2 linked regions of the Xenopus tropicalis genome follow. The protein of the gene in region 1 purifies or fractionates together with the protein of each later gene. This does not show direct contact. Links are inferred from orthologs where the notes say so. Each region holds a gene or a part of one and is shown on either strand. Other genes may lie near its edges.

Evidence for each region. Proteins that work in one complex are often made in the same cells at the same time.
Region 2: the proteins of stip1 (region 1) and hnrnpdl fractionate together in Homo sapiens (co-fractionation; 3 studies listed by BioGRID, with this or other methods). This does not show direct contact. The link is inferred for Xenopus tropicalis from reciprocal best matches to the Homo sapiens genes STIP1 and HNRNPDL.

Annotation. Positions count from the first base shown.
Region 1 is NC_030680.2:35,680,416-35,685,014, forward strand, and holds the start of stip1 (stress-induced-phosphoprotein 1), read right to left. Parts: upstream 2,954-4,599; 5' UTR 2,948-2,953; coding exon 2,939-2,947; intron 601-2,938; coding exon 391-600; intron 294-390; coding exon 152-293; intron 64-151; coding exon 1-63. UniProt on the Homo sapiens protein: Acts as a co-chaperone for HSP90AA1. Mediates the association of the molecular chaperones HSPA8/HSC70 and HSP90.
Region 2 is NC_030677.2:82,326,842-82,331,684, forward strand, and holds the start of hnrnpdl (heterogeneous nuclear ribonucleoprotein D-like), read right to left. Parts: upstream 2,967-4,843; 5' UTR 2,901-2,966; coding exon 2,824-2,900; intron 2,243-2,823; coding exon 2,074-2,242; intron 1,997-2,073; coding exon 1,835-1,996; intron 1,175-1,834; coding exon 1,043-1,174; intron 960-1,042; coding exon 845-959; intron 589-844; coding exon 418-588; intron 62-417; coding exon 1-61. UniProt on the Homo sapiens protein: Acts as a transcriptional regulator. Promotes transcription repression. Promotes transcription activation in differentiated myotubes. Binds to double- and single-stranded DNA sequences. Binds to the transcription suppressor CATR sequence of the COX5B promoter.

The DNA of each region.
Region 1 (4,599 bases):
GAGGATCAGACTCCAGTTTTTGGTATAAGTTTGGAGAGTTGAAGGGATTCATGAATTTTCTCTCTGAAGAGGAGTGGGGAAAACAGAGGGATCAGTGGGAACACTGTCTGGCTTCTTCATCTTATGGAAGAAACAGAAAATGTTATAGTACCTGCCAGCCTGGCCTCCATATTTTGCAGCCCTTCTTTCAGCTGTGCATTTGCTGGCTCGTGCCTCAGCCCCTCTTCATAAGTTTTCTTTGCTTCTTCAAAACGATTCAGAAATTCTAAAGCTGCTGCTTTCCTAGAGTAACCCTAATAGAAAGATAACAATAAGACACTTATAGATATACACAAATTATTACCAACAGGTTTACAGGTCACTACATATGCTTAGCTCTACAGCTCCCACCTTCCCCCAGTCTGGTTTCAGCTCCACGGTTTTGCCGCCATCTTCCAGTGCTTTGGTGAACTCTTTCTTTTTGGCAAAGGCTGCAGAACGATTGCTGTACAGGACGTGATTTTTAGGGTCAAGTTTGATGGCTTCGGTGTAGCATTTGACTGCTTCATCCAGATCCCCTGCTGAAAGTGCTTTGTTTCCTTTCTCTTTCAGTGCGTTTGCCTGATGGGAAAGAACAGGGACAACAATTTTGAAACATATACATAACGATATGTCATTTGTTATAATGAAAGTATGTACAAAGATATCAAATCTCTATGCCTTCCACTGCTGCTTAATTAACTCTTGCGCCACTGGTGCCTGGAACTAAATTGCTGCCACCCCCACTCTGACTCACTTTGGGCAGCGTGGGCTGAAAAGAAAATTGAAGGGAAGGGGAAAGCAGAATTTAAACATGTCATTGCCTCAAACTATGCCTTGCTAGGCACCCTTGGCTCAAATAGTACAAATAATAACATGCTCAACTGCAGGTTGAATATAAAAATAAGAGATATATACATAATACATAAAAAATATCTGGATCCCTGTGTACCTATAAAAAAAATAAATAAATAAAAAAATTCTTTTTTTGCCTAATCCTGCAACATGCATAAGAAAATAAAGGTTCAGTTCAGTAGAAAGGAACTGGTGACAAACATAAATAATAATAAAATATGCATGATATATTTCTGTTATAGCACAGGTTAATGTTCTACAGACATTTTTGTAGCTATAATTCCCACATCAGGGGATTCCCAGCCCTGTGTACCATTAGCCTAAAACTTGTGGCCCACGGCCATTTTATACACTACTGCCATACAGAGATAAAACAGCAGCAGGCTAATTGCCCTTCTACCTGTCACTGCTCTGAACAATGAGCTGCGATAGGCAGACAGGGGTATTTTGAATGCTGCTGTTGTTCACTAGATGACAACATCAAGCAAAACACCCCATATGCCCCTTGCCTAAGAGGAATAGGTAAGAGAAAGGACTCCAATTCAATTACCCTACTTATGCCCAGCTGTGCCAGCGCTACTTTCTTTTCCAGGAAACCAACTAAATGTAACATAAAAATTATCAAGCTGCATACTGTGAATCCCTCTCCATAACACTTGTAGACAAAGAGGCCAAAATACTGGGGCTCATTTAATAATGGTTTGGGTGCACCTGCATCTGAGGCATATTTGCTCTCTTAACTACCTCACACTGAATGCAGGCAGTGCTGAAGTCATGGTCAGGTCCTTACTTGCACCTACATGTGCTGATGGAGGGACAGAGTGCAAAGTAACAATAACACTGACTTGCATCTGTGCACCCTGCCACTGCATCTGTATATAAAATGACAAACTATTAATATGAAGATGTATATATTGCAAATGTGAAAGTTCATAGGAAAGATCAGATGGCAGGCTGGCCAAGCATGTAAAGTTGGTACATCGTCCTTTGCCATTGCTGTTCTATGGTTATCTTCTGACTACACACAACTGGAAATTTGTTTCTTTGGGCCAAACCGACCAAAATGGTTAAACCTGTCCAGTCTATAAAATGTCCAATAGCCATGGTACAAACATGTCTCTTCTAAATGCTACTTGGACACAAGGACTGGGAGGGAATTTGTACTAAGTCGTGTACTTACTGTCAATACCTTTAAGTTTATAGCCGTCTTAAGAACTGTAGTTCATTTCTACAGAACCCACCCTTCCTCTTTAATAATACTTGGGATTCTCTCTTACAGATTTCCCAGATGACTATGCCAATATAATTGCCTCAGTAAAAACTTTTATTCAAAGATGTAGACGTACACATACAATAGCATAAATCCAGATTAATCCAGATTTTTAAACGTTTTCCTTCAATATCTGTGTCCCATCAGAAACTATTCAATGTCCCATCACAATGCAAAAGTCTTATTTCTAAATTTTAGGGTAACCAAAAAATTATTTTGCTGTGGGACCCATGAACTTCTTACTACACCAGAGATCACCAGTAGCTGGTGGAGGGAGTTCCAAATAATGACAATTTTATTAGGTGAACAATACACAGTAAACCTTTAGAATAAATAAGAGTAGGGTTGATTAGCTAAGTTGCCTACCATATGGCTATACAGAAACCAGTGCAGTCTGCAGGCTGATGGTTTTACAGGCGTAAATCCCAAGGAGAAGCATGGAAACTAGAAACAAGGGTGAGCTATTGCCCCTATTGGAGAAACTGACAGACGTGGCATGAGATGGCAGAGACTGGCAGAAAAATAACTCCTGACGCCACAATGCCAGTACGGCTGGAAGCTGCAGTTCTGCAACTACTCTTGCACTGAATGCTATTGAGGGCAGTTACCAATCGTCTGAAAGGAAGAACAGCTATCCCACATAGCCCAGACCCTCACTCCATGACTTAATGACTGACCCACAAGTATAAATTCCCCGCAACTATGGAAAGCTTACTTGTCCCATAACGCGGAGCAAGTGTGTGGGTTAGCATTTATAATATCCCCATCACTCTTAACTAACAATTTGCCACTTACCGCCTCCATTGCAACCCTCTGATTCCGACCTCCCCACGCGTCTTCTCGAACCTACTAAACGATGACAGTTCAATTCCCGCCTACCGAGTGTGCAACTATTGGGCGAACATTTTAAGCTCCCTTCGCTGACAGGTCAATGCTGTTATCCATCACGTACCCACGCCCCTTGCTGACTCTCCCAGCAAGACTTCCTTGTCCTTGTTTTATCCCGCCCATTCACTACTTCTAAAGCCGATTGGCTGGCTGTAAGCTCACGCTTGGGGAGAAATTGGCTGGAGGATTCTGGAAGCTTCTACTACGCCAATTGGTTGCTACGAGGGCCTAGAGTTCTGATTGGTTTTAAGACCCCACTTGTTTCATTGAGGAAAAGTGATGTCACTTCCAACCAACAATGTGTTCGGTTGTACAGAGCTGCAGGGACACTACCAATACATCTCTCACATTTCTTATACTTACTTTTCTTGGCCCTAGCAGGGAATTTCATTTATACATAATAACCTCCATGGTCAGCAGTACTGAAAAGGTTCTGAATCCCTTTGTGAATACCTTTTTTCACTATGTTGTATCTTGTGGCTCAGATTCCAGGATCATCAGAACCCCAAGAAGAAGTACTAGTGAATTGTGAGCACACTAGGGGGCTGATTTACTAATCCACGAATCCGAATGAGAAAAATTCGGATTGGAAAATGAACATTTTGCGACTTTTTCGTATTTTTGCGATTTTTTTCGTCGCCATTACGACTTTTTCGTAAATTGTAGCGACTTTTTTATAACCATTATGACTTGCGTGAATTGTCGCAACTTTTTCATAGCCATTACAAATTTCGTGAATTGTCGAGACTTTTTCATAGCCATTATGACTTTCGTGAATTGTCGCGACTTTTTCATAGCCATTACGAATTTCGCAAATTGTCGCAACTTTTTCGTATTGAGCGCTCGAAAAATTTGCGACAATTCACGAAAAAGTCGCAAAATACCAATCATTACGAAAAAAACACATTCGGACGCTTTTCGGACGTTCGTGGATTAGTAAATGTACCCCTAGGTGTGCAAGGAAGGTAACTGAATTAATAGGCCAGTACCCTGACTAGACGCTCAAGTACAGTGATCCCCAACCAGTGGCTCAGGGACAACATGTTGCTCACCAACCCCTTGGATGTTGCTCTCAGTGCCCCCAAACCAGGGAGTTATTTTTGAATTCCTGACTTTGTGGCAAGTTTTGGTTGAATAAAGTCAAGATTTACTACCAAATAAAGCCCCCTGTAAGCTGATAGTGTGCATAGAGGCTGCCTAATAGCCAATCTTAGCCCTTATTTGGCTCCTCCATGAACTTTTATGATGCTTGTGTTGCTCTCCAAGTCTTTTTATATTTGACTGTGACTCATGAGTAAGAAAGGTTGGGGGTCCCTGCTCGAGTAACATTTTCAGGTTCCCCAATCAGGCCTGGATGTGTGGGATGTGGTGTAACTATCGGGGGAGCAGGGGGTACACCCAGGCCTGGGCCACAAAATTTACCGCAACATTTAGGAGGCCAAATGCAAGAGCGAGCACATGTTCCTGTGGGGGGCTCCTCCCTTTTACATATTTGTGACTATCCAGCTGCTACTTAACTGCATGTGCCAGAAAGCTGTCATGGAAGGCTGAGAGTTGTTATCCCTGAT
Region 2 (4,843 bases), on another chromosome or scaffold:
GGCTGGTAATTGTTTTGATGGTTTCCTCCACCTCTTGCTTTGCCATATGTGCTTTGTTGCCCTAAAAAGTAGAACGACGTTAAAGTTAAGGGGCACAAGCCAAAATAATGATTTTTATAAAAGATTATACCTAATGCAAACCATAAACTGGAGTAGTAAACAAGTCATCTTTGAATTAAGCCAGTATTTACCAGCAAATGTACATAACTGTGCATATGGCTGCTAGCAAATTTGTAGTTACTAACAAAAAGCTGCCAAGTTTCTCTTCTCATTTAAGTGTATTTTTAAAACACATTTTTCCCCCCAAGTCTCTCCAAAGAAGCAGTATAACATAACCTTAAGAATTAACTACCTCAATGACTAACTTTTCATTATCAAGTGTGTGCCTGCAAATGAAAGCTTTTCCAGAAAACTTACCACTGTAGTCTGTGTATCCTTGATTATATCCATAGCTTCCATAGTTATATCCAGAGTAATCATAACCACTATAACTGTTATTATACCCTTGATCAGCATAAGAACCATTGTTTCCATAGCTTCCATAGTTCTGATCATAGTAGTTGCTGTAGCCTTGATTCCAACCTTGACCTAAAAGAGGGGGAAAAAAAATTTAAGTTCCGTTCAAACCTTGGAGTTTTGCAGTAATCTTTTAAACATGGGGCCAGCATAAGCATTAACAGTCAATTGCAGCTTCAAAGACATTTAGCAACAAAAAAAACACCCAAAAAACTAATTTTTGCACTGCATAGGACAAATGAATGCCCTGCAAAAAAAGAAAAAAGTGGACTGCATAAGGTACAGCAATGGCACATGCCAAAGAACACTTGTCCCATATGATACCCACCTCTGCCCCTTCCTCTGGCACCACCCCTTCCAGTGGCTGCTCCTCTTCCTCCCTTCTGCTGCTTCTGTTGTTGCTGCCTGTAGACTTCTTTGGGCTGTGCAACTTTTATTTCACACTATGGGTAAAAAAACCAAAACTTAATATTTCACTTCGTAAAATTAAAAGTACAGACAACAGGAAAAAGCTGGCAAATCGTACCTTTCCTGTACCAATTTGATGGAACCGGCTTTCCAAAAGTTTCTTTACTGGTTCTTCGCCTGTATAGGTGACAAAACAAAAGCCTCTCCTTTCATTTGTTTTTGTGTCCATTGGCAGCTCAATATTTTCAATCTGTGAGGGGGACAAAACAATTCAGCTTCATTTTACACAGAAAAGTCTAAATTCCATTGCTAAATGCTATTTAACACTAACAGTAAGCAATGCCCAGCACCCCCCCCCCCCTCAATATCCTAGGTGCCACCCAGTATGTGAAACTTGCCAGCTTTACTCTGGAATGGTGCCCTACTATTTCTAGCAACTTTGCATTTGATCTTTATCATTTATTCTTTGTAGTTTTCAAATTATTTGTCTTCTTTGTCTACATCTTTCCAGCTTTCAAATGGGGGTCACTGACCCCAGGAACCAAAAGCCTATTGCTCTTTAAGACTATAATAGTGTTTGTTACTTTTTAATCCTTTTCTTTCTATTTAGTCCCTCATCTATTCATGTTCAAGTCTTTCATTCATCCCGCTGCCTGGTTGTTAAGGTAAACAAGTAATCAGATAGCTGCTGAAATTGCAAACTGGAGAGGTGCTGAATAAATAGCCAAAAATAAAAACCAGTTGCAAATTGTCTCTGAATATCAATGTCTATATCATGCTAAAAGTTAATCTTAAGGCGAACAACTCCTTTAATATCACAAAAAAGAAAAGCTATGTGCTAGCCAACAGTAAACTCAACTAAATCAATAGATCATTTCAAAGTGATCTAAGAAAAAAACAGTATACTTACTTCTCCAAATCCACCAAAATACTGCTTGATCTGCTCCTCTGTTGTTTCAGGACTGAGTCCGCCAACAAACACTTTCTTGGGAGGCTCTTTGCCTTTTAGTGCCTTAGCTCTTTTTGGGTCAATGAGCTTGCCATCTAGTTTATGCTCTTTTGTTTCAAGCACCTTAATAAAATATTAAGTGATAAGTTAACTTGATTTTAGGCACAGACAATACACCTCCAGCCAGGCAGATTACTCACTTTGTCAACGCTCACAGCATCTTTGAAAAGAACAAAGCCAAATCCTCTTGAACGCCCAGTCACTGGATCAGTTTTGATTGTGCAATCTACCACCTCCCCAAACCGAGACAGATACTCTGTAAGGTCTTTCTTACTTGTATCCCAACTCAGACCCCCGATGAACATTTTGCTGCACACGAAAATAAAACAGTGGTCGTTACATATGGCTAAGAAAAAGACGCAAAATATTAAAATTACAGCACTGCGCTTGTTATACAACAGCTCTAGAAATCGAGTCGCTCGACTAGAACAGTGTAGTTTTCTTCTAAGCATAAGTCGGAGAGCCGCAGCGCCGCCTACAGTTCACGTTGCGCCAAGAGCGCGCATTACTATCAATGTGACGTCACGGCCGATGCCATTGGTCGATACATCACTTACCCCGCCCGAGATCTCCTATTTGCTGGTGATGACGACTTCCCTATTCCCTAATCCGCAGGAAAGAATAGGCTAGGCCTTCCGAAAATATAGCGCAGCTAGCTCTTCTCGCGAGACTAGATATATAACCTCTTGATAGTGCAACAAAAAAATTCGGCCACCGCAAACAGCACCGTAGTAGAGAGCTATTTCGCGGCTTTAAAAATACCGCCCAAACTACTCACTAACCTACGTTTAAGAAGATTAACTGCACGCTCATTTCCAGCCCTGTAAAATATATATTCAGACAAATCGAGATTTGAAGGAATACTTCGTCTAATACCTGCGAATACTTACCCTTCATCCTGCTGGTTTTTGCTGGCATTGATTTTTGAGCCTTCGTTGAAGTCCGGGGTGGCACCAAATCCGGTCATGATTACGGTCTAATTGACGAATACAAAAGCCCCTTACGAACACACACACTAAGCAAATGTGGAAAAGAGCCTGAAATCGCCCACCCTCTCTTTATATACCAAAAGAGTTAGCCAATGGGCTTCGCAAGTTTCAGTGTCGTCACGTTAATGCGCTGTGTTTTTATTGGAGAGAAGCGGAGATGGGCGTGGCTGCTCTGCGTTCGTTGGCCCGATTTCTATTATGCGGGAGTTCTACCCAGTAATGTAGCGCTGGATAGACACAATGGAGTCACATGGCGTTTTTAGAATATGGCGCCTTGTAGTCGTGTGCAAAATGGTTGTGCTTGGGAAAAGTGAAGGCTTTAATGCCTTCTTGTTCGAGTGGTTTTTAGCCAAGGAGCAAACATTTATTCCGGCAACGAACGTCTAATAACTCTACAGCTAAATATACTTTTACCTTGCCCATTAATCCGTATGTCCGTAAACCTCCCTTCCTGTTACGGCGAAGCAGTTTTTTTTATTCAGCCACATGAGCGTTAGGAGCTGACTTGAACGTCGCACCAATTCAGCAACGCGGGGCAATTGGTGCTTTGCCATAATGGCTTTATTCTCCGTGCCGCCGCCAGTTACAGTCATCCTGTTAGATATTGAGGGTACCACTACCCCAATCACGTTTGTCAAGGTGAGGATCCCGTTTGTCTCACACATTAACACGCAAACAGTGCACGCTATCACATGCGCTGTGATGGCCTCACTCATGCAGGGCTTCGCTACGCTAAACCGATCCCCAACATAATGACTTTGTTTTAATGCAGACAATAATGGTTTTGATTTTGTATTTTATAAACAGTGACGTAAAAGATAAAACAAAATATGATATTTGCTCCTAAAAACTGCTCCAGCCACAAGTATGGTTTATATAAAGGATCTTCTAATCAAGGAGTGTTATACAAATGTATATTTGTTATTATAACCTTGAATCTGCTATTTTCTTGTTTCAATAACAAAAAAAGAGGCTGGAAATACATGCAATGTTGTACTGCTGAGATTTCATAATTGGTACAGATTTAAAGGGTAATTCTGGAAGGTATGGAAGTATTTCTTGCATGTAATTGTGGATTGTCAATTAATGTGATTAGATTTTTAAATGTTTAACATCCTGTCCTTATTAAGTAGTGCATGATACATTAGGCACTTTTGACACAAATCAACATTGTGGAAACTGAGAAGCAGTGGCAAGTGGTGACTGGTTTATATGTGGTTGTCAAACATTTTCAGCTTGACCAGGGGCCCCTATCATCATGAAATGAGTTCAGATATAGGAAAAGGTGCATCAGTCATTCAGACTTTGTTTAAAAAAAAATATCAAGCATAGTAAATACATATACTCCCCAAATCTCCCTGCCTTTATTCTGAGATCTACTGCCACCATTCCAAGTTCCCCTGGTAAGCCAGCCACACAGTTTGGGAACAACTGGTTTAAGACCTTGAGTGGTAATATATACAGGTATGGGATCTATTATAAGAAAAACTTGGCACCTGTCCTTTTCCAGATAGTTTTTCCTTTACTTGAATCACCATGCTTTAAATCTACTTAAAAATCATTTAAACATTAAAACAATCTCAAAAGAATTGTTTAACAACCAATTTATTATTACAAAAAAAGACAAGCTTAAAAATATAAAACCTTCTTGCATACAATGGGCTTAATGAGAGATTGTATTTCCATATTTCGGAGGTAATGGATAAGAGGCTTCTGGGTAATGGATCTTTTTTCAGTGAAGCATACTTCAAAGGTCATCTGTCGCATCAAAACTGTTTCCCCTACTGGACATCTGGGCTAACAGAGCCCACATTCAAGAAGGGAAATCAATAGTGGTTTTTTTTTTCTTTTGTTTTGCAAAAAGCCTCTGGTCTGGGCTGCCACTTTGGGGCATACACATCATAACATGATGTAGTTATTC